7 linked regions of the Macaca mulatta genome follow. The protein of the gene in region 4 binds, or shares a complex with, the protein of the main gene of each other region. Links are inferred from orthologs where the notes say so. Each region holds a gene or a part of one and is shown on either strand. Other genes may lie near its edges. The genes, in order: BUD13, SNRPG, CWC15, SNRPF, GEMIN4, SF3B2 and SART1.

What was found.
Region 1: SNRPF (region 4) and BUD13 share a complex: the UniProt entries of both Homo sapiens proteins name them as parts of the minor spliceosome. The link is inferred for Macaca mulatta from reciprocal best matches to the Homo sapiens genes SNRPF and BUD13.
Region 2: SNRPF (region 4) and SNRPG share a complex: the UniProt entries of both Homo sapiens proteins name them as parts of the U7 snRNP complex. The link is inferred for Macaca mulatta from reciprocal best matches to the Homo sapiens genes SNRPF and SNRPG.
Region 3: SNRPF (region 4) and CWC15 share a complex: the UniProt entries of both Homo sapiens proteins name them as parts of the minor spliceosome. The link is inferred for Macaca mulatta from reciprocal best matches to the Homo sapiens genes SNRPF and CWC15.
Region 5: SNRPF (region 4) and GEMIN4 share a complex: the UniProt entries of both Homo sapiens proteins name them as parts of the SMN-Sm complex. The link is inferred for Macaca mulatta from reciprocal best matches to the Homo sapiens genes SNRPF and GEMIN4.
Region 6: SNRPF (region 4) and SF3B2 share a complex: the UniProt entries of both Homo sapiens proteins name them as parts of the minor spliceosome. The link is inferred for Macaca mulatta from reciprocal best matches to the Homo sapiens genes SNRPF and SF3B2.
Region 7: SNRPF (region 4) and SART1 share a complex: the UniProt entries of both Homo sapiens proteins name them as parts of the U4/U6-U5 tri-snRNP complex. The link is inferred for Macaca mulatta from reciprocal best matches to the Homo sapiens genes SNRPF and SART1.

Annotation. Positions count from the first base shown.
Region 1 is NC_133419.1:117,438,531-117,442,030, forward strand, and holds part of BUD13 (BUD13 homolog), read right to left. Parts: intron 2,507-3,500; coding exon 2,422-2,506; intron 358-2,421; coding exon 1-357. UniProt on the Homo sapiens protein: Involved in pre-mRNA splicing as component of the activated spliceosome. As a component of the minor spliceosome, involved in the splicing of U12-type introns in pre-mRNAs.
Region 2 is NC_133418.1:54,435,964-54,440,022, forward strand, and holds the start of SNRPG (small nuclear ribonucleoprotein G), read left to right. Parts: upstream 1-1,259; 5' UTR 1,260-1,347; coding exon 1,348-1,379; intron 1,380-1,495; exon of another isoform or gene 1,496-1,826; coding exon of another isoform or gene 1,827-1,834; intron 1,835-3,021; exon of another isoform or gene 3,022-3,122; coding exon of another isoform or gene 3,123-3,169; intron 3,170-4,059. UniProt on the Homo sapiens protein: Plays a role in pre-mRNA splicing as a core component of the spliceosomal U1, U2, U4 and U5 small nuclear ribonucleoproteins (snRNPs), the building blocks of the spliceosome.
Region 3 is NC_133419.1:95,759,036-95,762,535, forward strand, and holds part of CWC15 (spliceosome-associated protein CWC15 homolog), read right to left. Parts: intron 2,674-3,500; coding exon 2,566-2,673; intron 1-2,565. UniProt on the Homo sapiens protein: Involved in pre-mRNA splicing as component of the spliceosome. Component of the PRP19-CDC5L complex that forms an integral part of the spliceosome and is required for activating pre-mRNA splicing.
Region 4 is NC_133416.1:103,187,271-103,191,358, forward strand, and holds the start of SNRPF (small nuclear ribonucleoprotein F), read left to right. Parts: upstream 1-1,288; 5' UTR 1,289-1,410; coding exon 1,411-1,413; intron 1,414-3,389; coding exon 3,390-3,515; intron 3,516-4,088. UniProt on the Homo sapiens protein: Plays a role in pre-mRNA splicing as a core component of the spliceosomal U1, U2, U4 and U5 small nuclear ribonucleoproteins (snRNPs), the building blocks of the spliceosome.
Region 5 is NC_133421.1:2,295,180-2,299,479, reverse strand, and holds the start of GEMIN4 (gem-associated protein 4), read left to right. Parts: upstream 1-1,500; coding exon 1,501-1,510; coding exon of another isoform or gene 1,511-1,903; exon of another isoform or gene 1,904-3,358; intron 3,359-3,372; exon of another isoform or gene 3,373-3,633; intron 3,634-4,300. Other genes in the region: uncharacterized protein LOC721152, read right to left, coding at 329-1,903. UniProt on the Homo sapiens protein: The SMN complex catalyzes the assembly of small nuclear ribonucleoproteins (snRNPs), the building blocks of the spliceosome, and thereby plays an important role in the splicing of cellular pre-mRNAs.
Region 6 is NC_133419.1:8,350,164-8,353,663, forward strand, and holds part of SF3B2 (splicing factor 3B subunit 2), read right to left. Parts: intron 2,831-3,500; coding exon 2,723-2,830; intron 2,433-2,722; coding exon 2,290-2,432; intron 2,205-2,289; coding exon 2,103-2,204; intron 1-2,102. UniProt on the Homo sapiens protein: Component of the 17S U2 SnRNP complex of the spliceosome, a large ribonucleoprotein complex that removes introns from transcribed pre-mRNAs.
Region 7 is NC_133419.1:8,451,985-8,455,484, forward strand, and holds part of SART1 (U4/U6.U5 tri-snRNP-associated protein 1), read right to left. Parts: intron 3,369-3,500; coding exon 3,242-3,368; intron 3,119-3,241; coding exon 3,013-3,118; intron 2,756-3,012; coding exon 2,678-2,755; intron 2,563-2,677; coding exon 2,463-2,562; intron 2,374-2,462; coding exon 2,231-2,373; intron 2,100-2,230; coding exon 1,893-2,099; intron 1,195-1,892; coding exon 1,070-1,194; intron 983-1,069; coding exon 867-982; intron 774-866; coding exon 631-773; intron 1-630. UniProt on the Homo sapiens protein: Plays a role in mRNA splicing as a component of the U4/U6-U5 tri-snRNP, one of the building blocks of the spliceosome. May also bind to DNA.

The sequences.
Region 1 (3,500 bases), on a different chromosome or scaffold from region 4:
GAGAGGGATCTGGTGAATCATGACGGACTCTCCTAGGAGATGCACCTGAAGAATTATGCTGAGGCCTCCTGGGAGGAGAAGGATCTGGAGAATCATGACAGGCCCTCCTTGGAGGTGAAGTGTCTGAGGAGTCATGACGGATCCTCCTGGGAGGAGATGTGTCTGAGTCATGACGAGCCCCTCTGAGGGGAGAAGGATCTGGGGTGTCATGACGGGCCCTCTTAGGAGATGAATCCGGGGTATCATGACGGACTCTCCTAGGAGATGAATCTGGGGTATCATGACGGACTCTCCTAGGAGATGAATCTAGGGTATCGTGAAGAAAATGCCTGTGTGAGGGTAGGTCTTCATTGTGGCCTAAACACAAAAAACAAAGAGTCAGATTCCCACAAATGCTCTGTCCCTCTGTCCACCCCCACACCCAGTTTCAAGACATGCTCCAGCAGCACATACCTCAGAACTGCTCAAAAAGCCCAAAAGGCCTGCACAGTTTTCTTGCTTAGCGGCAGCAAATCACCACTCTGAATATCTTAAGAATAACCCCTCCACCTACCAAGTCATAAATTTGCAAAGCATTTTCAGTACATTTTTCATATTATACCCTTTAAGGTAAGCAGGGCAGGTACCCTTGTATTATGAACAGAGCCTCTGTTTTCAGCTGAGGAGCTGAGCGATTTCTTACCCAAGGTCACAGCTACTAAGATGAAGACACAGGCTAGAATCCAAGTCTTCTAACTCCCAGTCCAATGTTCTTTCTAACACCTCATTTGTGCAGAGTTCCCAGCTAGTGGCTCCTACTGATATTTTGCCTAGATACTTTATAGTTTGTACTCACTCCTCTTTCAAAAGGTAAATTGACTAAAACGGTGAGTATCAAAATCAAATGCTGTTAACTATTTAATCCATTTCACTGTGCTCTTTGTTAGAGAGCAGAAAAAATCACAAAAAAAGAAAGGAGCAAGTAATTACCAATCACCTACTGTGTGCCAATGTTTTATAGAGATTACCTGATTCAATTCTCATAAGCCTAGGACATAAATATTGTCATTTCCATTTTATAGATGAGGAAGTTAATACTCAGAAAGATTAACTTGCCAAAGTCATATTGCTAATAAGTGGTGGAGGAATATTTAAATTCAGCTCTATTTGACTCCAGAGTCCATATGCAATCTTTAAAATACGTAAATCTTTAAAGTTAAAATACAAGTTTGAGACCTTCCATTTTCAAAGGCACCACAGAATGAAACATCTATAGCATCTGGAATGGTTTCAAAATCCAGTTCTTCCTCTACCTCTATCTCTTGTCATTGAGCCCCATAGCCCAAATAAAAATAAAGGCTGGGCAGGAACCAATGAACACTTGCTAAATGAATGAATTAAACCAAGTCACCTCCTTTACTTTGGGGAACAGGCCTATCTGATTGGAATCCACTCCACAGAGAAAAGTATGATGTCTGTGGGGGGCCTAACAGTAAATCTGAAGGAAGTAAGGGTCAGAGATTGGTAAACGTATTTCCAGTAACAGATTGGGATGAGGAAGTGAAAGCAAGGCAGAAGAAAAGGAGTAAGTGAGTGAGTGAGTGAGTGTGTGTGACTGACTTTCTAAACATTCAGATACCGAAAAGCACTGTGTGTGTGTGTCTGTATGTCTTCCTAGACAAACAAGATATGGAGACCAAAAGACTCTCTGTGGAAAAGAATTCTGGTTAGGCTACAAAAATCAAATGCCTACTAGCAATTAAGCAATTCTACAGATATTTATTAAAGGCAGCTCCTTGTGCCAGACAGGGGACTATCATGGCAAATAAGACCAGTCTATGCTCAAACAGATGTGACACACAAACACTTTTTATCCAAGTCTCAAGGACTCAAATTTTTTTCAAGAGAGTTAAGTTATAAATATTAGCTTAGGAAGAGTCTAAAGTGGGCAGGTGGAGGGTAATGCACTATAAAATACCAATATTTAAGGAAAGAAGAGAGAAATTTACTAACACAAACAGAACAAAAAACATTGGTCCTTGACCCCCCCAGAAATGAGTTGCTTCATTGTGGAAGAGGACAGTGGTAGCTAAAGTCCCCAAATTCTGTTCCTGTTTCTTGTAAACTCCTCCCAAAGTCTTGCCTATATACCAAGGGCTCTCCTATTCTGAGTCAGAGGAATGGGTGCTCACAGGCCTCCAAATTAGTCACCAACCTCAGTAACCCTAATGCCAAAATACAAGAGAAAGAGGAATATCTGGTCTCTAAGTTCCTATGTCTTACTACTTCTGAAGAAGTCCAGCTTCCTTTTTCCTGCTTTATTTTTCAGGATCAATGACATGCTAAAAAAAACTATGCATTCCTCTAAAAGAAAAGTGTAGAAAAGAAAAAAAGACCTCCCCTACTAATGGAGATTTAGATTTATCTACTGTTGGAACTCACCTCCCAGAAGCTTCCATTTGGCACTGGAACGAAAGGCCTCCATCTGCTTTACCTCTTCCGGCCGCTCATCCACAAACTCTGCCACCTGTGGGAGTAAAGATTTCCTATGCTGAGGAAATCCACAGGATCCAGCCAAGAAGCACTGTCTCAAGAACCTGAAGTTACAACCATTCCGATTCCTAACCTAAGGGCGCACACATATCCAACATGGTCATGAAGAAATAAGTAGGGGTCTTCAGTTATGCTAGCTCCATAAGCACCTGATTGTCACTGTATTAGTTGGATAATTCAATTTCCCCGCAAAGGTTAATTTCTTTCATTACAAACCTTTTTATTAACCTGCTAGGTACACAACAGCCACTTGTAAGCTAACACTAAATTCCTATACACTTTTACTTCTACATTAAGAGTGAAAACATCGGTGGCCCCCCATCATGCCTAGCACTAATCAAGGACTTTGGGTTTCTATGAAACCTTTCTTGTTGTAGGTAGTCACAATAATAGATTTTCTTGAATACAACCAAAAACAGCCACTGAGATGTACACAGAATCATTAATCTTTAAGAGCTAAAACCACATTTCTTATCTTCCAAACTTCCGAACGAATCAGAATCTTCTCTATAGTATTCCTAATAAATGGCCACTCACCCAATCCCTTCCTGACAAGGACCTCATTATCTTACAACGCAGTCCACTGCATTTTTCAAAAATGTTAGAAAGTTCTTAGTTTTACTGGTCTCATCTCTACCTTCCTATAACTTCTTTGAATTGATTCTAGTTCTGACCTCTGATGCAACTGATCCCTTTTCCACATGACAAATTTTCAAAGAATGATGGCATAATAAATCCTAGTTACAGAGTAGCAACTATGTGCAAGGTACTGTGTTTTGTGTTTTACTCATATAATCTAACTCGATTCTCACAATAACCCTGCAAAGAAAGGCTCCACACTACTGAATAGCAAACTGACTCAGAGAAGTTAAGTAACTTTCTCAATATCACAAGCTAACAAGTGGCAGAACTGGAATTTAAATCCAGGTCGTAACAGCCCTCTACTTCTCCGAAAATCCTACCATCAT
Region 2 (4,059 bases), on a different chromosome or scaffold from region 4:
TCAGCACTCTGGGAGCTGGAGGCAGGCGGATCTCTTAAGGCCAGGAATTCGAGAACAGCCTGGGCAACAAAGCAAGACGTCGTCTCTACAAAAAAAAAAAAAAAAAAAAAAAAAAAAAAAAAAAATTAGCTGGGTGCAGTGGCTTGCGCCTGTAGTCTAAACAACTCAGGAGGCTGAGGTGGGAGGATTGATTGAGGCCAGGGGTTCGAGGTTGCAGTGAGCCATGATCACATCATGCATCCCAGCCTGGGTGACAGAGCAAGACCTCATCTCAAAACAAAAAAAAATTTTTTTTTGCAAGACCCATCAGTCGGAAATAGATTGAAATTCTTGGAGACAGGCCCAGTCACCTTACTCTCCAAATGGTGCAGAGGCTGCTAATTTGCATGTTACCGGAACCCTACTTGGTCTGAAAGTATGCTGTAGGATACCTGCCAAAGAAATATAGAGGCCCGGCTGGGCGCGGGTGGCTCACGCCTGTAATCCTGGCACTTTGGGAGGCCGAGGCGGGCGGATCATGAGGTCAGGAGATCCAGACCATCCCAGCTAACACAGTGAAACCCCATTTTTACTAAAAATACAAAAAATTAGCCGGGCGTGGCGGCGTGTGCCTGTAGTCCCATCTACTCAGGAGGCTGAGGCAGGAGAATGGCGTGAACTCAGGAGGCGGAGCTTGCAGTGAGCCGAGACCGAGCCACTGCACTCCAGCCTGGGGGACAGAGCGAGACTGTCTCAGAAAAAAAAAAGAAATATAGAGGCCCATTCCTCCAGGGATCATTATTTGGTATTTTGGTTTAGATGAAGAAAACAAGCGATACGATCCACAGACATGCGGGATTTGCCGGGTTTGCCCAGAAGTTAGAGAGGGGACTGTTATCTCAGTATTTCAATTTTATTTTTTAAATAGAGGAGGGGGTCTCCCTATGTTGCCCAAGCTGGTCTCGAACTCCTGGGCTCAAGAGATCCAAAGTTCTGGGATTTACGGCGCCAGGCTTTTTTTTTTTTTTTTTTTTTTTTTTTTTTTTTTTTGGCTGTTCCATAGACAAGAACACGGATACTCCATCGTCAGAATACCCGTTATCTCAATTTTGCCCAAGGAAAACCGAATTTAGAAAGGTGCCTAGAGGGCCCACCCCTCTGTCCTGGCCAATAGCTGACGACGCAACCGGAAGCTCAGCAATGACCGAGGCGCTCAGATATCGCGATGTGAAGTGTTAAAAACTGCCAACAATCGATTGGCTAACTAGGTCGATGACGCCAAACGCAAGACGCCGGGCCTACCGCGGGAGCCTGAGGGAAGCCGTGCATTCAGTTCCAAGGCGTCTGTGAGTCCGCGGAGTATACGCCATGAGCAAAGCTCACCCTCCCGAGTTGAAAAAGTAAGTATGTGTGAGAGCCAAACCGAAGTGGTCGCTTCTTTGCGTCCCCCGAGTCCCTTGGTGTTTCAAGCCGAATGGCTTGAGCCGCTTCACCTTATTTCTTCTTCCGGTCCGAGGTCGCCGGCATCCCGGCCAGGCTCCGGCTCATGAGACGTGAAGCCCGCGCAGAGCTCGCGCATTGGCGTGGTTACCGCCGGCAGCCACCGCACCTCCTTCTGGCCGACTAGTCTCTCTGTCCCGCGCTCCGGCCCCTAGTCACCCGGCGCTGTCCCTCGTTCCTTGAAGATCTCCAATGCCAGCTTTTGTTGAACATCTCTAATAGCATCATATTCTAGATAGACGGCTAGAGGGGGAAATTCTCTAAAGGAACTAAGGAGGGGATGGAAGGGAAGTGTTTTTAAAACTACGTGAGGCATCGGAATCCAAAAGCCACTTTAGCCTTAGAGAATGTGTTTGTAGGTGTTTCTTTGAGCTTTTACTTAGAAACCTCATTCTTTTTTGTTGCCTATTTTTACATTAAGCTTGAATGTCATGTGTTATCTTGCTCTGATATTGAAACTATGTAAGAACATTCATTTCTAAAATTAATGTTCTAAAAAATAAAATTTTTTTTAGAACATTAATTTTTTTCTAATCAGAGAAGGCTAATTTTTTTAAGTTTCTTTTACACACCCAGTAAAGACAAACAACTTTAAGGAGGAGAGCCTTAATTTATGTAGGACTCAACGTAAAACTTTAAACTCCTCAAATACTTTTTGACTGGACTTAACAGGTTATGTGTTTCCTCAGTACGTCTCTGTTTTGCTTGTACTCCCTGATGCTGGAATTCTACATGTATTTATTGGATTGCACAGAGGATGCAAAATTTTTACAGGAATCAATTTTTTCTGGTGTAGCATGTGGTTGGCTTTGTGTATAGTTCATTTATTACCAGGCCCCTGGAAGTCAGACATAAGGAAAAGTTCCTATTTAATAATTTTGCGGCCAGTGGCGGTGACTCACGCCTGTAATCCCAGCACTTTGGGAGGCCAAGGTGGGTGGATCACCTGAGGTCAGGAGTTCGAGACCAGCCTGGCCAACATGGTGAAACCCCCCGTCTCTACTAAAAATACAAAAAATTAGCCAGGAATGGTGGCACGCGCCTGTAGTCTCAGCTACTCGGGAGGCTGAGGCAGGAGAATCGCTTGAACCCGGGAAGTGGAGGCTGCAGTGAGTCAAGATCTAGCAATTGCCCTCCAGCCTGGGCAACAAGAGCGAAACTCTGTTTCAAATAATAATAATATTGCATTTAAAGGTATATTTGTATCAAAGCCATCTTTTGTATGAAAACTACTTTCATGTATATTTTAGTTAGGTCTGTTAAGGAATTAATTATTAAAACATAGCCCAACGTTAGAAAAATAGAAGTTAGAAATTATTGTGAAAATTACTCTTTTTATCTGAAAGTTATTTTATTGGTGAGTTGGTGATGTAAGTATCCTCTGGATTCATCAGGGACTGGTGAAATGGTGATTTTTCTTTTTTTAAACAAAAGCACCATTCTCTACTTGTAATCTAAGATTTTATTTGTGATTCATAACATAGTTTTTGAAAATTTCAGAGAAGGAAGCTAGTTTTAATACCTTTCTCTTCTCATCCATAGGTTTCATGAATTGTGAAATCCCGTGAGATCTGCCGTCAAAATGACTTTCAAATTTTTTCTTTCTTTGCTTTCTCACTGATAGCATCTTCTTTTACACCATTATGCCCTCCTTCTGGCTTAGCGTAACTCAGGGGTTCTTAAATGGGGGGTAAGGAATCTGGTGACACCAGGGATGCTGCTAAACATCCTACCGTTATTCGGCTGCCCCCAACAATACAAAATTACCTGGTCCCAAGTGTCATTAGTGCAGAAGTTGAGATACACTGGCTTAACCGAATTCTTCCTTCCACTTCTTAAAATTTGCTGCCACAGTGGTCTTGCCAGTGACAGCTTTAATAATTTATCACAGTATGCAAAACTGAATCTATACTTAAGCCAGCATTCAAACGCCAAACCTTACAGCTGCTAATACTCACGTGTTCTCTTCTCCAGTCAGACTGAACTATTTGTGTTTGCTCTCACTTGCTGTGTGACTTCGAAAAATTGATTTACCTTTTCCAAGCCTAGTTCTCCATCTGTAAAAACGGTAGAAATGACAGACCATAATTGCATGCAAAGTCATTGTAAAGATTGTATAAGATCTTGTGTTATATTTGATATGTTTTATGTATCTTATTAAAATAGTTTTGTTCATCATACTTCATAAATGTGTGTATATATTATATATAATATGTAATATATATTACATATATAATTTTACATATAATATTACATATATATTACTTTTTTTTATATATATACATATATATATATATATATTTTTTTTTTTTTTTTTTTTTTTTTTTTGAGATGGAGTTTCACTCTTAATTCCCAGGCTGGAGTGCAATGGTGCAATCTCGGCTTACCGCAACCCGTGCCTCCCGGGTTCAAGCAATTCTCCTGCCTCAGCCTCCCGAGTAGCTGGGACTACAGGCATGCACCACCACACCCGGCTAATTTTTTTTTTTTTTTTTTTTTTTTTTTTTTTTTTTTTTTTTAGTAGAGACGGGGTTTCTCCATGTTCATGTTCATCAGGCTGGTCTTGAACTCCCGACCTCA
Region 3 (3,500 bases), on a different chromosome or scaffold from region 4:
TCAGAATTTGGAATATAAAATGTCTAAAATCCTTAGCTATCACTTCTAGATCTACCTGTTAACATGCTATCTTAAGCTAAATATAAATCCCATTTTGCTGTGTTTTGGGGATGACAGAAATCGATGACTTAATAGATCAAGGAAAAAGAGATGGTGTGGAAATCATTTTTTAAAAAGTTATTATTTTAATAACCTAATTTTTCATACAGATTACTGATATTCATTTCAATATTCAAATGTAAACAATGAATTTCATTTTTATGGAGAAAAATAAAAATGAAAATAGGAGGTGAGAAGATCTAACTTGTAAGGAAATAGGAAAATTCCTTTACATCACTGGTCAGAATTTAAATAAAATCAGGAACTATCCATCACAGATTAAGTACAAGTAGCTCTCTAAAAGCTATATATTTATTTGTAACAAATTATACTGATGCTTAAAGGGAAAAGATATTTCTCTGAAATACTAGAAAAATAGGAGCTTAGGTATACAATATATCCAAACTTATAATATAATGTGTATGACATACAAAGGTCATGGACATTTTATGTTTGGAATATTATTTCCTTTGGAGTTACTGAATGATTGTCACTAACAGCCCTGGGAAAAAAAGGCATAAACTCTTTCAACATTCAAACAGCAGGCATACTATGTTTCATAATATAAGCTAGTTGTCAGATGGCATGTAGGTCAAATCCTAACTACCTGTTTTTGTAGATATTTTATTGGAACATTGCCACACTCATTCGTTTATGTACTCTGTGGATGTTTTTATGCTACAACAGTGGAGGTGAGTAGGTGCGACAGAGGCTCCATGACCAGCCAGCCTAAAATATTTACTACCTGGCCCTTTACAGAAAGTGTGCTGACCCCTGACAAGGGTTAAATGGTTTGAAAAATCTTAAATTTGGGACGTGGCAAAAACCAGCCAATAGAAAGGGAAACAGGGCTAAAAGAAACTAAACTATCATTCAACTCCAAGAAATATCAACACGTTTTATTACATGAAACTCACAAAACTGCAAGGCCTTCTGTCTAAAATGCTTATCGTCCCTCAAGGTCAACCAAAAGCATTTAAATTGCTCATCTCTTTATGTGTCCAGAACTATTAGGCAAGCTAAAAGAATTTGGAACAATTGCCCTCTAGTGGTATGCAAGTGGGATTGGGAATGTTTTTATAATTCTTCGACTTAAAAACTACATGTAAAAACTATAAGCTGTTATAGGAATTATGCTGTCTTATAATACAAAACTTTGATGAGAATTGTATTTTAAAATGCCTTCCTTCTTCCAATCTGAATTCTAATCATCAAAGTCCATCCCAAATTCTACCTCTTTTCTGAATTCTTCCCTGGCCCTTCTGATTCACATGAACTCACTTCCCTAGATTCCTGGTATTGACCATGTAGTATATTTTTTTACTTTCTTTTTTAAAAACAGAACAATTCTTGCATCAAATAAAATTTTACACAGAAATCTACAAAAAAGCTGTGCTGCTCTGGTTGAAAACATCCCTACCTGAATGTCTTATAATGTGTCAAATTCAGTATGTTCAAAACAGATCTCATCAACTACCTCTTCTCTCTGTATAAATATGGCAATTCTTTTGCATTCCCTGTATTGATGTACAGCACCAACATTTACCTACAAAGTGAGGGTCCTCTCTGCTGCCACAATCAATCAGTCACTTTGTCAACTCTACCTCTTTTATTTTTTATTTTTTCCTGCTCCCCTTCCCACTTTGACCTCCTTGATAATCAGTTCTATCAGCATCTAATTACTTATCTTAATTCCAACTCCTATCATACAAGTTAAGAGTCTCTTAATTGGTAAGATTACTGAAACAGCCTCCTAACTCAGTTTTTTTCCAATCCATCCTGCGTATTTTTGCCAGAGTAATCTCTCTAAAATGCATATCCAATTTTATCAATCTCCTGCTTAAATCAACCAGCTCCTCATGTCCTTTAGAAAAAAATCTAGACTCCTTCAGCATTGTTTTGCAAATCTCTAATGCTCTGACTTGTGCTTGCCTCCTCAGTTTCACCTCTTATTATCACTCTGGGTAATTCATTAAGAGTTTTAACTATCTTTAAGTTTTATATTTTTTCCTCATATTGTGTAAACGGAGAGACTGTGGGGGCTCAGCAAAGTTAGGTAGCTTGACCTAGGTTATATAATATCTACTGACTAATTGCCTTAATAGTACCTAGGCAGGAGACAGAGAGATAATCTTTGTAGACCATGACTATATCTTGATCATCTTTGATTCTCCTGTCAATTAACAGATATTGACTAAATGTTGAACAAATGAATAAACTAGTGAATGACTAGCAAGCTGGTGAATATTACTCAATGTATCTGAACTATTGGGAAATAATTTTTAACATAACCAGAATACCTAGGATGTCACAAAAATAATAAGATTTATAGATCTACAAGTGCTATAATATTTAGACACAGTAAGGGAGATTTCTAATATAAGAAGGTATTACTTATATTCAAAAAAATTTCTACTTTAGTATATGTGAGAGGAGAGATGTAAATATTTAACACTTTGGTTTTACCTTCCTGGCCTGCTCTTCAGCTCTTTCCTTTTTAATTTTTTCCAGTTCTGCAAGAAGAGCTGCAGTATCATCATCATCACTTTCTTCTTCAAAATCTTCATCTTCTTCCTAAAAGAACAGTGAGAGCCCAGAAGATTGGAGGGAAAATATACATTACCAAAACACAGTACATATGTACAATATATCACCCTAAGAAAGTCAAAACAATTTTATGTAGCTCAAAACAACTTTAAGCTAGCAAGTAAAGATAATCAAAAGTGCAAAAAACTGCTAATTTCTCAGAAGAAAATAATTTCAAATGAATAATCATTAAATTTCACTTGAAATTAGGTTTCTTGTTTTAACTATTATGAGTAACTCCATCATTTAACTCTAGAATTAACTGCTGATATGTATACACAGGTAGATATTACTCATTGGATGCCACTCAGGTTTTTCACTGTCCTGTATGTAGAAAACTGCAAACTGATTATAGGCTCTAGGGTCCCACAGAATTTTATCATTAACTGATGTGCTAATCCTTAAAAACCTTCTGCTTAGATTACTTCCCTCACTAAGCACAGAGGGAACCATTAAGTGTACTCCACTTATAGAAAGGGGCATATCTAATGTGGAAAGGCCTCCAGGTACAACTCTAGAGGGCACTGTTTATAGGAAACCCAGTGTGAAGAGTGCCCTGTAGAGGTGTGTAACACACCATAGTGCAGTAGTTTAGTACAGGACATTATTTTGCGGGAAAGCATGTCTTTTAAGATTCCTTCCATATTTGGTTCTCTAGAGACCAAACTTGTTCTTAAAAGTCCCACAAAATAATACTTTTTGTTTTAAAATCAACTATAAAGTTTAGCACTGAGGTCAGGGTTATATTTGAATAACAGCAAGCAAATATATGTCACTTCTTAAAGCCAAAGGCATAACAAGTATTTCAGAAAAAC
Region 4 (4,088 bases):
GGCTGTCACCCCGAATCAGACGGTAAGGTAAGATTTCCACAATTGTTGAAAGAGCCTGACACATAGTAGGAACTCAAAGTCTGTACAAAGACTTAAAGTTCATGAAACAATATACAAACTAAGGAAGAAATCCACTTAAGTTTAGGGTGAATAAATCTAATAACTGTTTGGTAAAAACTACACTGACAATGACTGTCTTGTCAGTGTTCAACACTTATGTGAAACACTGAGCTTTTACAAGGCCAAGCCCCGTTTTAGGTTAAATTCTCGCAACCACGCTGAGGATGGTTCCGTTTTTAAAGCCGCGTTCCTGCCGTGGAAACAGTGGCCCTGAGGGTTAAGACACTGCCCAACACCGGCTGCGCCTGATAGACGCAGGTTCCGAATGCAGGCCCTCTCCAAAGTCTTGCCCACTGCTCCACAGTGCCTCAACAACCAACATTTCATCCTCAACCTCAAATCCATCTCTTCAGGGCCGCAAAAAAGCGTTACTTCCCAAAGGGCGTGTTCTCCAAGAACTGCATTTAGCATTTCAGATCAGAGTGAGCCGAACTCACTAGGATTACGACAAAAACCAGTGAGATTCAGATAACACCGTTACGTCGAAAGTTTTAATCCGTGACAGCGGAAATATTGCTTACGCCCTTAGGTAATTTCAAATGCACGTAAGAAGGCCGTGCCAGTCTCTGCTGGCGATGCAAAAGAAAGATGGGGCCGGCGGGGTCGTGGGGGGTGGGGGGACATGACACCGTATCCCAGACACAACCTGACCTCGTTTAAAATAAATTCTGTATCCGACTCCCTTCGGTGCGTTTCACCGCCCCTAGTCTTGTCTGGCTACCCCCGAATTCCTTTAAAAGGGGTTGAAATGGGTGTTGCAGAAGAGAGAATACTCAGGTAGAAACGGCCTGCGGCAGAGGCGCCCCCAAATCATGGAACCTGTTGGAAGAGTGAGGAAGGAACTCTGGGATCCTGAACATTCTCACGGGTGTAAAAAGACAAAGTAAAATCCCCATTAACCAAGTTGGGGAGAAGTCACATCCGTCACACAGCCTCTCCCAGACCGCACATTTACAACACCGGCCTGCCTCCAGTCCTTGGCTGCCTCACCTTGCTCCTCAGAGCGGGTTTCCCAAGACCCGCGCGCAGCCGGCCAGGCGCAAACTCAAGCCGCTGCTGGTTGCCAGGAGATACTGGTCCAACCATCTCCTCCAATCAGCGCGCATCTCTTTTCGTCCAATCACAGAGGCAGGAAGGGCCGTGGTGGGAGGTGAAAGGTCACACTCCTGTTTGGCGGCCATTTTTCTTGAAATTCAGCGGCTCGGGACCTGGGGTACCTGCTGTAGTCACGAGGGACAAGCGGCAGCCTGGTCGGCAGTGAGTAGCCTGCAATATTCGGCCGTGGTTACGATGGTAAGGAGAACGAGAACGGCGGGAGAAGCGGGGAGAAAGAGAAGGAGGGAGACCACCTCGCGGGGCCTAGTGGTTGCTTCGCGCGTTTCCCATTCATCCGCGTGAGGCGCCGCGCACCCGGTCGCCAGCTTCTTTCACTCTGCTTTTAGGATTTCTGAGGCGCGTGCTCCTCCCGATGCCTTTCTTTTTCTAGGAGTGCCCGTGCCTTCTCCTCTTTGTTTGAATCCGGGCTTGGGATATTCTTATTTGTGGCTACAGGGTCGGGGTAAAACTCAAAGAGAATTTGCACTTCCCACTTAACCACACTCCAAAATTCACTTTCATTGCATGAAAGTAATGATACGGCCATGCTCTAGTTTAACTCGGTTGGGGAAGACAGACAGTCAAAAAATAACAAATATGCAATTGCAAGTAATAAGTGCTAAGAAGAATGCAGACAGGAGGCTGTGAGGGTGCGCGTTAGACATTTAGAGGCTTAGTCAGAGATGGCCTCCCTAGGAGGTGGAATTTAACCTGAAGCCTAAGTGTCATGAAATAGACCCTTTAAAGAGCAGGAGGAGGAGTGTACCGAGCACAGAGAATAGGCGCATAAGACCTGCGGCCGGAAAGAAAGCTTGGTCAGTTGGAGAAATTGACAAAAAGGTACAGCCACTTGCAGGAAGAGTGGTTACGAGATGGTGTCGGAGGAGCAGGCGTTGGACAGGACCTCTTAGGCTGTATTGGGAGGTTTTGATTGTACTCCAAATCAATTGAAAATGATTGAGTTGGAAGCCATTGAATCATTTTAAGCAGAAATATGACAATTTGATGTGCACTTTAAAAAATCATGTTGCTGTGGTGGATAATAAATTGGAGAATGAAAACTGGAGACCCATTAGGTTATTGGAGTAATCGCCGCATCAAGTCACTCCGAATATGTTTATGTTAGAGGGGGTTAGTAGCCAAGTTTCTTAGTTCTGTTCTTTCTTTGACTGGTGAGTGAGCAGAAAAAGGCAAAAACCGAATTCACTGGAGATGTTAATGGTTTGCTGAGCAAACTTTAAGTGATTGCTATAAGAGGCAGTGCTAGTGACAAAGTCATTTAGGACCTAGCCCTAGCTTCCACAGTTAAAGACTGTCAAGCGTCATCTGCCCTCTGCTTCCTTCTGTAGTCTTATATTTGGGACTTTGACTGACAATGCTGAATTGTATGTCCCCAAAATCACCTTGTTGCTTCACTCTTCCCTCCTTTTACATAAGTAGCTAGCCTTGCCTGGAACAGGATTTTTTCCCGCTCTGGAAATAAATTCTCATTCTTTAAAACTGAGGTTAACTTATTTCAGGCAACCTTTCCTTTTTTCCCTGGATTGCTTCGGTACCCTTGTGCCTAGTATATCTCCTCTTATTATGTTGCAATATGCAGTATAATTATTTGTATGTGAGGAGCCCCCCTCCCCATCTCCAACTTCTTGACAGGGACTCTGTTATTTATTTATGACAAGGTCTTGCTCTGTTCCCTAGTAGCCGGGACTACAGGTGTGCACCACCACATCTGACTATTTTTGGTAGAGAAGGTGGTCTCACTATGTTGCCTGGGCTGGTCTTGAAATTCTGGCCTCAAGTGATCCCCCTGCCTTGGCCTTCCAGAATGCTGGAATTACAGATATGAGCCACCCTTTCTGGCCCGCATTTTTTTTTTTTTTAAGTGCCTTTATCTTTGTTTCTTTAGAGCTCAGAACAGTAAGTGATGTATGTAGTCGGTGTTATCTTAAGTGAATAGTGAGTATTTTGTTTTGATGGGTTAAAGGTGATACTGGCTAACTGGATATTTAAATTTCCCTGGTACTCTCCAATAAATGAAAGTGAAAATTGTGTACTAAAATAATGAGTCAAGAGTTTTCTTCATTTGCATACCACAAAATATTGGTATTTAGTAGAAGAGAGTTGGTGGTGGGAGGAAAAATAATTAATTGGATCCTTTTTTGTTCTTTGTGCAGAGTTTACCCCTCAATCCCAAACCTTTCCTCAATGGACTAACAGGAAAGCCAGTGATGGTGAAACTTAAGTGGGGAATGGAGTACAAGGGCTATCTGGTATCTGTAGATGGCTACATGAACATGCAGGTAAGCTAAAGAGCTGTAAAGGTCATAACATTGCATTTAGTTTGCTTCACCTTATTGCTCAAAGGTTTAGTCTGACTAATAAGAATACATACAATTAAATTGACAAATGTACGGCAAAATTAAAAAATAAAGTCAAAGCCAGGGAGGATACTATGATATACTAGGTACAAGACATGGACTTAAACCAGAATTCAGCCACAGATTTTATTCCTAGTAGTTAAAGTAAGAAGAGCTCAGACATTTAATTCATAATAATACTGTAAGGGAAACACACTACTTTGCTGGAGAAAACAAAACATTTCTCATCATTTAGCCCTGAAAGAAAGTTTTCAAGTGAAATTCATGAGTCTTTTAATGAATGATGCTAAAGGCACAACACCAAAGTTATTGAGGAAATTCATTCCTTCAGGGGAAAGACACATCTGCCGAAGAAATTGAACTGACTGTATGTCTGTCAAATGAGTTTCTGTAAATGATTCAGCCATGTGTTTTGGTGGGGTTTTTTTTGTAATTAATTTTCTTTTTATTGTGGTAAAATATACATTACAATTTTGCCACTCTAACCATTTTTAA
Region 5 (4,300 bases), on a different chromosome or scaffold from region 4:
AGGCCGTCACTGGAGAATGGTCTCCTGCCCTCAGATCTTGGGCGTTTCCACAGCACACTGTGCCCCTCTCTCCTGCCAAATACCTACATACGCTCTTGTAATAGGAGGGCTGGGAACTCCACCCAAAACCATACAAAAAGCCAGTCTGTGTATTTGGACGCCTCCCCAGCACTCAGTCACCGAGTTCCTCCAGTTCCTCTGTTCCAACAGCAGTCGGTCACTCTCACGCAGTTTAAGTGATTTATTGATGTCTCGGCTAAGCTTGCGACAGTTTCAGGACGTTTCAGCCATCAAGGTCTAAGAATCCCTTTCCATTCCCGAGGAGCCCTCAGCCAGCCTCTTCCTTCTTCACCTCCTCACTCTGGCCGCGTAGCCCCTCATGGCGTCCATCTTGGACACCCCTTTGTTCGCGCTCCATGCCGCCCACTTCCTTCTTCAGCTCCTCACTCTGGCCGCCTAGCTCCTCACGGCGTCCATCTTGGACACCCCTTTGTTCGCGCTCCCTGCCCCCCACTTCCTTCTTCTTCAGCTCCTCCACTTTGGCCGCGTAGCTCCTCATGGCGTCCATCTTGGACACCCCTTTGTTCGCGCTCCAAGCCTCCCACTTGGCCCTGGCCTTCACGTCTGAGGCCGGAGGGGCGGGGATGCCGCAGTCGCCCTGGGTGGCCTGTTTGTAGAGGCCGTAGATCAGCAGCTTCTCCGGATCGCTCACAGGACCCTTCAGCTGCTTGAGGGCCGCGCGCGCCAGCTCGAACTCCACTTGGCACATGAGGGGGTGGAGGCGGTGCCTGGTGCTCGAAGCTGGAGGTGGAGAGTTGGAATGGCGGTTACTACTCGATCTCAGGGGGGAACGCAGGCAGGCACACGATGTTTGTGTTTTCTCAAGCACAGGCTGCAAGCTCGGGGTCCCGCGTACTGGCGCCACCCCACCACGTTTGGGCTCACACGGTGCATTTTCTGGGGAGGAACAGCCGTCAAAAGCGTCTAGGATCCGGGCCGCTGCTGTCTGAAGGGGGCGGCGCCGCGCGGCAGGAGCGCGTTGAGGGACTGTGTGGGGGGCGGACTGGACGCGTGGGAGTGGAAGGCTCGCGCGGTGCGGCCGCGCTGGGTAGTGGGCGGCCCGCGGGAGGCGCTCGGTGGCGGTGAGCTGTGTGCGGGGCACGCCCGGGGTTACCGGGTGAGGGTGAATGCGGGGCCGGGGACTCGTGAGCCGGACCCGCTGAGACCCCGGAAGCGGGCCAGGGCAGGGGACGGTGCGGAGGGTCTGGGGAGCGACGCCTGGTACCTGAGGGTGGGTGGGAGGCCTCTGCCGGAAGGCGGCGCTGTGCGCTTGGCGCGCTCGTTCGTGAGGACTGCGCGTGCGCAGGGGAGACTGTGGGCGGGGCCTGAGCGCCGCCGCCGTGGCGCCTGCGCCGTCCATTGTGCTGTGCGTCCCGCGCCGCGTTCGCGTTCTCGGAGTAGAGGGGGCGTTAGCCCCGCTCGGCCGCCGGCGTCGCCGCCATGGACCTAGGTGGGTGTCGCGTCTCCTCAGCCCCGGGCTGCGTCTCGCGATGCGCCACCGGGACGGTGCCGCCCCGTCGCGTCTCCTCCTGCCGCGCACGCTCGCTTGGGCCCGGGCCAAAGCGTCCACCACGTCGGGGCGGGTCTGGGGGTCCCCGGGTGGCCTTGACGGGGGTGGTCCGGGTCCCGCTGCGCGTTGGGCCGGGTCTTGCCCACTCCGCGGGAAAACACCGAGCAGACGTAAAGTGAGAGCCCCTGGAAACGCCCGGGGCCCGGGGCTCGCGCACGTGCTTTGAGAAACGGGCTTTCTCCGAGCACCCCCGGGTGTCCCGGCGGCCTCATTTTCTGAACGGCAACTGCGTTCTTGAGCAAGCGTCTTAGGCTCCAAGTGTCTTACGCTCATCAGGTTTCCTCATCGACAGAGCTGGGGGAATGACAGTGTGTCTCCCCACTGAGTGTTGGGCGACTTTTCATGGAGATCGCCGAGGCACAGTGTCCCGTGCAGGGCTGCGCGGGTCACACCGCGGTTGGGGCGGCTGTGTTCCTGAGGCGTCACTTTCTGAACCTGCGTGCGTCCTGATTCAGAATCTTGCAAGGTCTGGGAGAGGGGGAACCCTGGAACTAGGAGCTCCCTGCTAAGCCTCGACACAGGCTGCTAAGACCAGGAGGCTGTTCTGGGAGAGCTGGGGGTGAGGCACCCCGAGATGTGTCAGCAGTAGTAGGCTGGGGGGAAATGGTCTGTTCCCCGCCCCCAGAGAGCTCTTCAGGAGCGGTATGGCAGAACTCTTAGGGCTTGGAGCCCCTTAGCCGTAATTGCTTCCCAGCCCCACCACATCCAGGCGGGGGCACCCTCAGCAAATCGTTTCTGCGCCTCAGTGTCTTCTTCTCTAAAACCGGAATAATAGTCCTCAAAAGGTGGTTGTGAATCGAAGAGATCTTACATGTGCACCACCTAGCACCGTGCCTGGCATGGAGTAGGCGCATAATAAACCTTAGAAGCGGGCTCTGGTAAGCACTAATTAACCATCCGTGATGAAGCACCGGAGTGTTTTCCAGCTAGTAACTGACTTACTACTTCAAACTGTGGGTACTTACTGCGCCTGGAAGGCAGGTGTTGAGGGCCAAACATCTGCTCAGCTAATCCAATAATGCAATAAAATAAAATTTACAGCGTCAGGAGGGACCATATTTTGGGACCCTGGGAGAGCCTCCTGAGCCAGAAAGAAGGGCCGTAACCCCCAGAGAGGTCCCCTCTGCAGCCTGACCTTCCCTGGGAGTCAGATTCAGCCACTGTGAGCTGAGATGGATTGCCTCCACAAGTGGGTTACATAGTGCTGAACCCTTGTCCTGCTGCTGCTCTCATAAATGGTGGGAAGGGTAAGATGGTCCTTAGTTTCCTGGAGTCAGCGTTTTCTCTGCTGGTGTCTGGCCTGGGAAAATGGGGAATATGAGCTCTCGTGGGCATGAGAGACTGAGGAAGGAGTAGCATCTCTCAATCCTAGGAGAGGGGAGAGGCCTCAGGAATGAGGAATAGGAAGCAGTATTTGTACCCTCGTTTTAGTTTCTAGGCCAAAGGAAACATGCCTGATAAAGGCCTATATCCTTTGATGTTTCTGAGCTGGGGGAGGCAAAGAATAGTGACAAGATTCTGGTCCTGCCAACTATGAAAAGGTTTGGGGAAACCAACATTTACTGAGTACCTAACTAGACTCTGTAACCCGATTCTTATTGTAGCTGTATTTATCTATCATAGCGTCCCGGAGAGATGGGGTCAGGAGATAGCAATACCAACCCCCTAGAAAGGGCTTGACTGGTATATATCACATGATCCTCAAAGTTATAACATGAAGTCTGTATTATCCCCACATATGCAGAAGGAAGGCTTGGAGAAGCAACTTGACCAAGATTACATCCTTTTTTTTTTTTTTTTTTTTGGAGATGGAGGGGGTTCTCATTATGTTACCCCAGCTAGTCTTGAACTCCTGGCCTCAAGGATCCACCTGCCTCAGCCCCGCCAAGTAGCTGGGATTACAAGTGCTAGCCACTGCACGTGGCCAGAATCACATTGTTTTTAAATGGCTGAGCTAGGATTTAAACCCATGTCTGATTAAACATCCCAAGATGCTTTCCATGGTAAGTCTGTGTCAATCGTTAGTTCCCTGAAGGAAGGCTTAATCTAGCACAGTATTTTCTGTATCTACTCCCTGGTTTCTCCCACAGAGCAGGGCCATGAGTAGCTTGTTTTTGACCAGAAGGAGCTGTGGGGTGGACTGTTTACCTGAAAGGTAGAAGAATGTTTGAGGCCTGTTCCCAAGGCAAGGTTGTAAAGGGTGAAGGCAGGGCTTGTCTGATTCCTTCTGTGCCCATTACTCCATGGCTGTGTGATTGCTCTGTGCCCATTACTCCATGGCTGTGTGATTGCTCTGTGCCCATTACCCTGTGGCTGTGTGATTGCTCTGTGCCCATTACTCTGTGGCTGTGTGATTGCTGTGTGCCCGTTACCCTGTGGCTGTCTGATTGTGTGCCCGTTACCCTGTGGCTGTGTGATTGCTTCTGTGCCCGTTACCCTGTGGCTGTATGACTGCTTCTGTGCCCATTATCCTGTGGCTGTGTGATTGCTGTGTGCCTGTTACCCTGTGGCTGTGTGATTGCTTCTGTGCCCGTTACTCTGTGGCTGTGTGATTGCTTCTGTGCCCGTTACCCTGTGGCTGTGTGATTGCTCTGTGCCCTTTACCCTGTGGCTGTATGACTGCTTCTGTGCCCATTACCCTGTGGCTGTGTGATTGCTTCTGTGCCCATT
Region 6 (3,500 bases), on a different chromosome or scaffold from region 4:
GACGGGCGGATCACGAGGTCAGGAGATAAGAGACCATCCTGGCTAACACGGTGAAACCCCGTCTCTACTAAAAATTACAAAAAACTAGCTGGGCGAGGTGGCGGGCGCCTGTAGTCCCAGCTACTCGGGAGGCTGAGGCAGGAGAATGGCGTGAACCCGGGAGGCAGAGCTTGCAGTGAGCCGAGATCCGGCCACTGCACTCCAGCCTGGGCAACAGAGCAAGACTCCGTCTCAAAAAAAAAAAAAAAAAAAAAATGAAAAGCATCAGTGAGCAGTGGGACAACTTAACAGAGGAATAAGGTGAGAGGAAAGAGAAGGGAACAGAGAAAATATTTGGAGAAATCATGACCAAAATTTCCCCCAAATTAATAAAAACTAAAAACCCAGATCTAAGATGCTTTAAAAACCCCAAGCAAAGGAACACTTGGAAACTACACCTAGGCACATTGCAGTCAAATTGTTAGAACTAGCGATAAAATCTTAAAAACAGCCAAATAAAAATGACACATTATGTACACAGGGACAAACGTAAGAATGACAGCAGCTTTCTCACCAGAAACAATGCAAGAAAGAAGACAGACACTGGAGCAACATCTTAAAAGTACTGAAAGAAGGTTGATGTGGTGGCTAACGCCTATAATCCCAACACTCTGGGAGGCCAAGGCAGGTGGATCACTTGAAGCCAGGAGCTCGAGACCAGCCTGGGCAACATGGCAAAACCCCATCCCTACAAAAATATAAAAATTAGCTGGATGTGGTGGCATGCACACGTAATCCCAGCTACTCAGGAGGCTGAAGCAGAATCGCTTGAACCCAGGAGGTGGAGGTTGCAGTGAGCCAAGATCACACCACTGCACTCCAGCCTGGGTGACATAGCAAGACTCCATTTCAAAAAAGAAAAAAAAAAAGTATTGAAAGAAAAAAAATTGTCAACCTAGAATCCTATACCTGGCAAAGATCTTTCAAAAATGAAGGCCAAATAAAGAATTTTTAAGACTACCCAAGCTGAACGAATTCAAAACCAGCAGACCCACAATATAAGAAATGTTTGTTTTGTAGAAATGGGGTCTCACTATGTTGCCCAGGCTGGTCTCAAAATTCCTGGACTCTAGCAATCTACCACCTCAGCCTTCTCCCAAAGTGCTGAGATGACAGGCGTAAGCCACCATGACCCCTAAAGAAACATTAAAGGAAGCCCTTCAGGCAGAGGAAAAATGATATCAGATAGAAACCTGTATCTACACAAAGAAATGAAAGAAACAAAAATGGTAACTACATGGCTTCATGCATGATTCTTATTTAAACCTCCCTAAAAGATAACTGACCATTTAAACAAAAATAACTATACAGTACAGGATTTATAACATGTAAATACATGATAACACAGTGCAAAGTTGGGCGGAGAGCGAAGTACACTATCGCGGCTCTTAATGCCATCTGGAAGCAGTGTGACATCAAGAGAAGCTAGATCCTGATATAGACATGATCTACGATAAACCCCAGAGCACCCACTAAAATAACAAAGCAAAAACTTAACAGCTAATTAACCAACACTGGAGATAAAATGGAATCATAGAAATTGTTCAAGTAATCCAAAAGAAGGTATAAAAACAGGAAAAAGGGAACAAAGAGCAGAATGGATAAAGAGAGGGTCATTTCATGATAAAGGGGTCAATTCATGAAGACCTAACAACACCACACATTCAAGTACCTAAAAATGGAGCTTCAAAATACTAGCGCATCCCTGTCTCAGGGCCTTTGCACTTGCTTGCACTTACTGTTACTTCTGATCCAGATGATCCTGTGGCTGGCGCTTTTCCATTCGGGTCTCAGTTCAAGCACCACCTCCCCAATGAGGCCTTCCCAAAGGCCTCCCTGCCACCCCATCCCATTACCCAGTTTCCTCTGCTTGAGCATCCTTATCTACATCTGAAAGTATCTTGTTCTCTGATTACCAGTTTACCTCAACTGCTGACTCCTCCCTGCCTGGAGTATCGCCTGGCAGAGTTGGTTCAATAATTTTTTAAAAAGGGATGGGGGAGAAAGGAACAACAGTCAGCCAGTCAGCCAACGGGAAGTGAAGCCCTGTCTGGCACCCTCACCCATCCATCGCCTCCTCGATCTTCTTCTTCCTCAGCTCAATGAGTTCAGGGGTCTCCATTCCAGCAGGCACTGATGAGAAGCCTCCAGGAGTGATGAGGCCACTGTGAAGAGAGGAACAAGCTCTGGAGTAAAGAGAAGGCCCCCAAAGATAAGCCATTTCCAAGAGGCACTCTCTGCTTCCCCCACCTGTCTGCAGGGGTAATAAAGCCTGTCTCATCTGGTTTGTCTTCATCACTTTCTTCCTCTTCCTCTTCTTCTGAGGATTCTTCATCAGATGGTTCCAGTTCCCCCCAAGGGGTCCGATCAATCTCTTCCTCCTCAGTCTTGGTCTGAAAGAAATCACTTAATCAGTCAACAAATGTTTTCTAAGTACCTGTTATGTACCAGGCTGTTTTAAGCTGAAGGGGTGTTAAGAGTCAACACACAGACAATAATCCCTACCTACCTAGAGCTCAAATTCCAGTGAGGGGCTTGCGTTAACATCTCAGGAAAATGTTTGCCCTTTTCCAGGCTCTGCTGTGTCAGAACACGCAACTCCCTGATAATGAAGCTATAAACCAACAATCTCTAACCTTCATGATGTTAAGTAAAACCAAGATCGCCAGTACATAGCCCATACCTGAAATTCAGCAGCATTGGTTCCAAACACATCCCCATAGAGCGGTTTCCCAGTCTCATCCACCGGAGGTTTGCCCCAGCCACCAGCATGGTACCCAAAGGAACAGCTCTGCAAGACAGTGAGCACAATCAGTTCACTCCTTAGCTGCAAAAGAAATTCTGAAGCCCTAGAGAAAAGGCACACTCAAAAGTACAGAGCTGACGCTTGGGAACTCTGGAAATTATGACTGCAGAATAAAATTAAATGTTATGAAGCATTAGAAACCAAAATTAATAAACAACTAAAATCTGGAGGCAACAGGATAAGGAGACAGGAGGCAGAAAGTATGCTAATAACCTCTTCTGTCATGGCAGAGTCTCTGCTGTCTGAAACCAAAATACGTACGTTGAAAACATGACTTCAATTTCTTACTGAGTTTTCCTAACTTTGGAAGGCTAGCTTGTTCAGAATCTATTTATCTTAAGGGGCGGAAGTTTCTATCTAAAGTTTAACAATACTACTTTTTTACTTTAATGACTCTTATCTGTCAATTTTTTTAATGATTACTTTAAAATAAGAATAAATTTGAAGACATTCTTGAGATAAAATTATTTCTGATAGATTGAAGTGAAACTAAAAAAAAAAAATTATTTCTTTTCTTTTTTTTTTTTTTAAAGTAGAGATGCGGTTTCACTATGTTGCCCAGGCTAGTCTTAAACTCCTGGCCCCAAGGGATCCTCCCACCTCAGCCTCCCAAAGTGCTGGGATTACAGGTGTTGAGACACCACATCTGGCTAAG
Region 7 (3,500 bases), on a different chromosome or scaffold from region 4:
AGCCACTTCCCTGAGTCCAGGGCCCCGTGGCTGTCCTGTTCACCAATGACCTTCTCGGCCCAAGAACAATGCACTACCCACAGCAGGCACTCAACAAACATGCACAGGAAGAGACAGGCCAGGAAAGGATCCCCTACTAAAGCAGGCATCTAAAAACTTTTGCAAAACATGACTTTTAAACAGAAAACATGACTTTAACCAGGGCTGGTCGCAGTGGCTCACACCTGTAATCTTAGCATTTTTGGAGGCCGAGGCAGGCAGATCATGAGGTCAGGAGTTGGAGACCAGCCTGGCCAACACGGTGAAACCCCGTCTCTACTAAAAATACAAAAATTAGCCGGGTGTGGTGGCAGGTGCCTGTAATCCCAGCCACTCAGGAGGCTAAGGAATGAGAATCACTTGAACCAGGGAGGCGGAGGCTGCAGTGAGCCGAGGCCACGCCATTGCACTCCAGCCTGGGCGACAGAGCAAAACACTTGTCTCAAAAAAAAACAAAACCCAGAAAACAAAAAACAAATGGAAAAGAGGCTTCAGACAGGAATGTGGCTGTTGCCTATGACACATGTGCTCGTGAGGACAGGTGACTGCTGACGCACTGGTAGCCCCAGGCCTGCCCATGCCCAGCCTCACCTTCTCGCCACTGTCTCGCAGCTGCTGCAGCTGCTGTAACTGTCGCAGCCGGCGTCCCTTCTCCAGCTGCTTCTGCAGCTCCAGCTCTGCCTCGTCCTCCTCCAGCACCTGCGGGGACCCCGGCTGTGGAGCTCCACCTTCCTCTGGGGGATACACAGGGGATGCCTGCTCAGACAATCTCCTCCAACCCAGGGCTCCTGTCCCTGCCCCCTCCCACCCCCTGGCCAGGCCCTCACCCTCATCACTGATGTCCATGTTCTCCACTCGGGTGTCATCCGACGGCAGGGGCTGAGGCACGGGCTCCTTCTCCTCCTCCACCTCAGACACTCGGCGGCGACCCCGTCCCCGCAGTCTGAGGGAAGGAGGCCTCTCTGGTGAGCACCGGCCCCCGGGACACCCCAGCCCAGCCCTCTCACCCCACCATGGTGTCCAAGCCCACCTGGAACCAAAGTCCCCATCCTGAGTCTGGTCCCCGAGAGGCAACAGGTCATCCGCCCGCACTACGACCTCCTTCTCCTTCTTGCGGATTTTCCTCACCCTCCGCTTGGTCCTTCTAAAGGCCACCTGAGGGGAAGAGGGAGGCGTGGGGCGGGGCGGGGAAAGGCAGGCCACCACAAGCCCGCGAGGATGAACACTTCTTTGGTGTTCTTCTGTGCTAGCCAGTGTCCTGAGCACTTCTCACACATGAGCAACACGTGGGGTGGTTACTATCTCCCTTCCACTGGTGATTAGGGAAACTGGGGCACAGAGAGGTTAAGTACCTTCCCCAAGGTCGCCCAGCTCCTAGGTGGGAAAGCCGGGCAGTCTGGCTCCAGAGTCCTGCTCTTACCCACTGAGCAAGACGCCTACTACACCAGCTGACTACCTCACGTTCACACAGTCACTCTGCGGACAGAATCCACGCACACCTTTCCAGTCACCCCTCAGCCACACTGTCACTCATCCTCACAGCAACCTCAGGAGGTGGCTCCTATCACTGCCACTCCAGATGGGGCACCCCAGGCTCACAGTTAAATGGCTTACCCAAGGCACAAGCTGGCAGTATGGCAGAGCAGAAACACCAACTGGGGCCCATCTGGCTCAGCAGCCCTGACCCGTCAACACCTGGTGCCTCCCCAGGTTGCCATTTACTGCTTGCCCACGAGGCCAAGCGCTTTGTGAACAGAAATACTTGCCCTCTCTTCCCAGTGCCTGCGGGCAGCGCAGGAGCCCCAAGGGGAGGGAGAATCATGACCCCAAGTACAAGGCGCAAGAGGGCTCACCATCTCCTCGGGTGTGAGGTACTCGGAGGCCAGCCGGGGCCCCACCGTGCTCAGGGACTGAGCCTGCAGCCGCAGCTTGGCCCGGATCTCCTCCAACTCCCGTTCCCGCAGGCCATCGGCCATGCCCCCCTGCTCCAAGCGGAAGGAATGCGGCTGCTCCCCCTCAAGCTCTTCGTCGTACTTGGACAGGATAGAGCGAGGTTTTTGCTACAAGGTAAGAGGTACAGGTTGGGACCCAGGGTGGCTCCTGAAAAGCCACTGAGCCACCACCTCCTCAGAGCCCCTATTCCCGACATTCTCCACCCCAGCCCCCGCCGCCCAGCCTGCTTGGGCCGTGCCTGCGCCAGGTCGTCCACACTCTCGTCCTCGGCATAAGGCAGGTAGTCGGGCTTCTTCTTCCGCAGCTCCACATTCTTCTCTGCCCGCTCCTTATCCACCAGGTTCACGTTCACCAGCACGTCCTCCTCCTCCTGCAGCACGCCTGCGGGCAGCACAGAGCAGTGGCCATTCACACTTGTCCACAACTCAGCAGAGGCTGTGCCCCGACCCAAGGCACCCAGCTCGCGTCACCTTTGTCCTTAAGGGTGAGGATCATGGTCTCCCCTTCTCGGAAGGAATCAATGGCATGCTCCACGGTGAGGCCCTGCAGGTCCCGGGCACTGTACAGGTCCTAACAGAAGAATCAGGCGAGTAAAGAACCTCCCTCCATGCGCCCAACCTTGGGATTCCAGCATCAAGGCCGCCAGTGTGCCCTGCACCACCCACCCCGGCTGCTGCAGCCTCACCTGCCGTCTCTGCCCGAACTCCTCCTCTACCAGAGTGCTGACACCAAACTCTTGGTCCATCTCCTCCAGTAACTTTGCCTATGGGACAGGGAGGGGTGACCTAGGACCTCAGGCCACTCAGCACCACCAGAAAACACTCAGGGCTCTACCAAGCGGAGTGCAAAAAGAGCAGGCCTTGCAGGAAAGTTGCTGAGAATCCAAAGCGGATGCTACCAACCACAGCCCATCCCCTCTCCGAACCCCGTCTCAACTCTCTGGGGTCCACCCCCTGCCTCAATGCCCAGTCAGGCCAGCAAAAGCACTGGGCAACCACCCCATGCTGCCCAGGTGCTCACCCTCTTCTCTGCCAGGTCTTTCTCCTTCTGCAGCTGCCGGCTCCTCTCGATCCAGGCTGCAGTGTCGTCCAGCCAGGGATCATCCTCTCCTAGGGTCTTTATCTTCCTGAAGAGGGGAGAAAGTGATGCTCCAGGAGCCCAGCTCCTGCTCCCAACCCCACTCAAAAGGCAGCCAAGGATGGTGGCCTCCCCAGCCCTTCCCTTGCCTGCCCTGGCCAGGACCCCTCACCCCAGCTTTTGGTTCAGCAGGCGCTTCTCCTTGGCAGCCGCCAGCTTCTCCCGCAGCTCCTCTCGCTGTCGCAAGGCCATAGGATTGATGACATCGGCTGTCACGGGCTCCTCCTTGGTGCCCGCCTCTGGAAGGGGGGCCCAGACGTGAGGCTATGCCCGCCCATGGCTGGTGGGGAGAGGAGGGAGCCACTCACCCTGCCCCCTTCCAGCTCAGGGGGCCAGAAGGGGTCAGGACAGGAAGGAACAATCCTTCACCT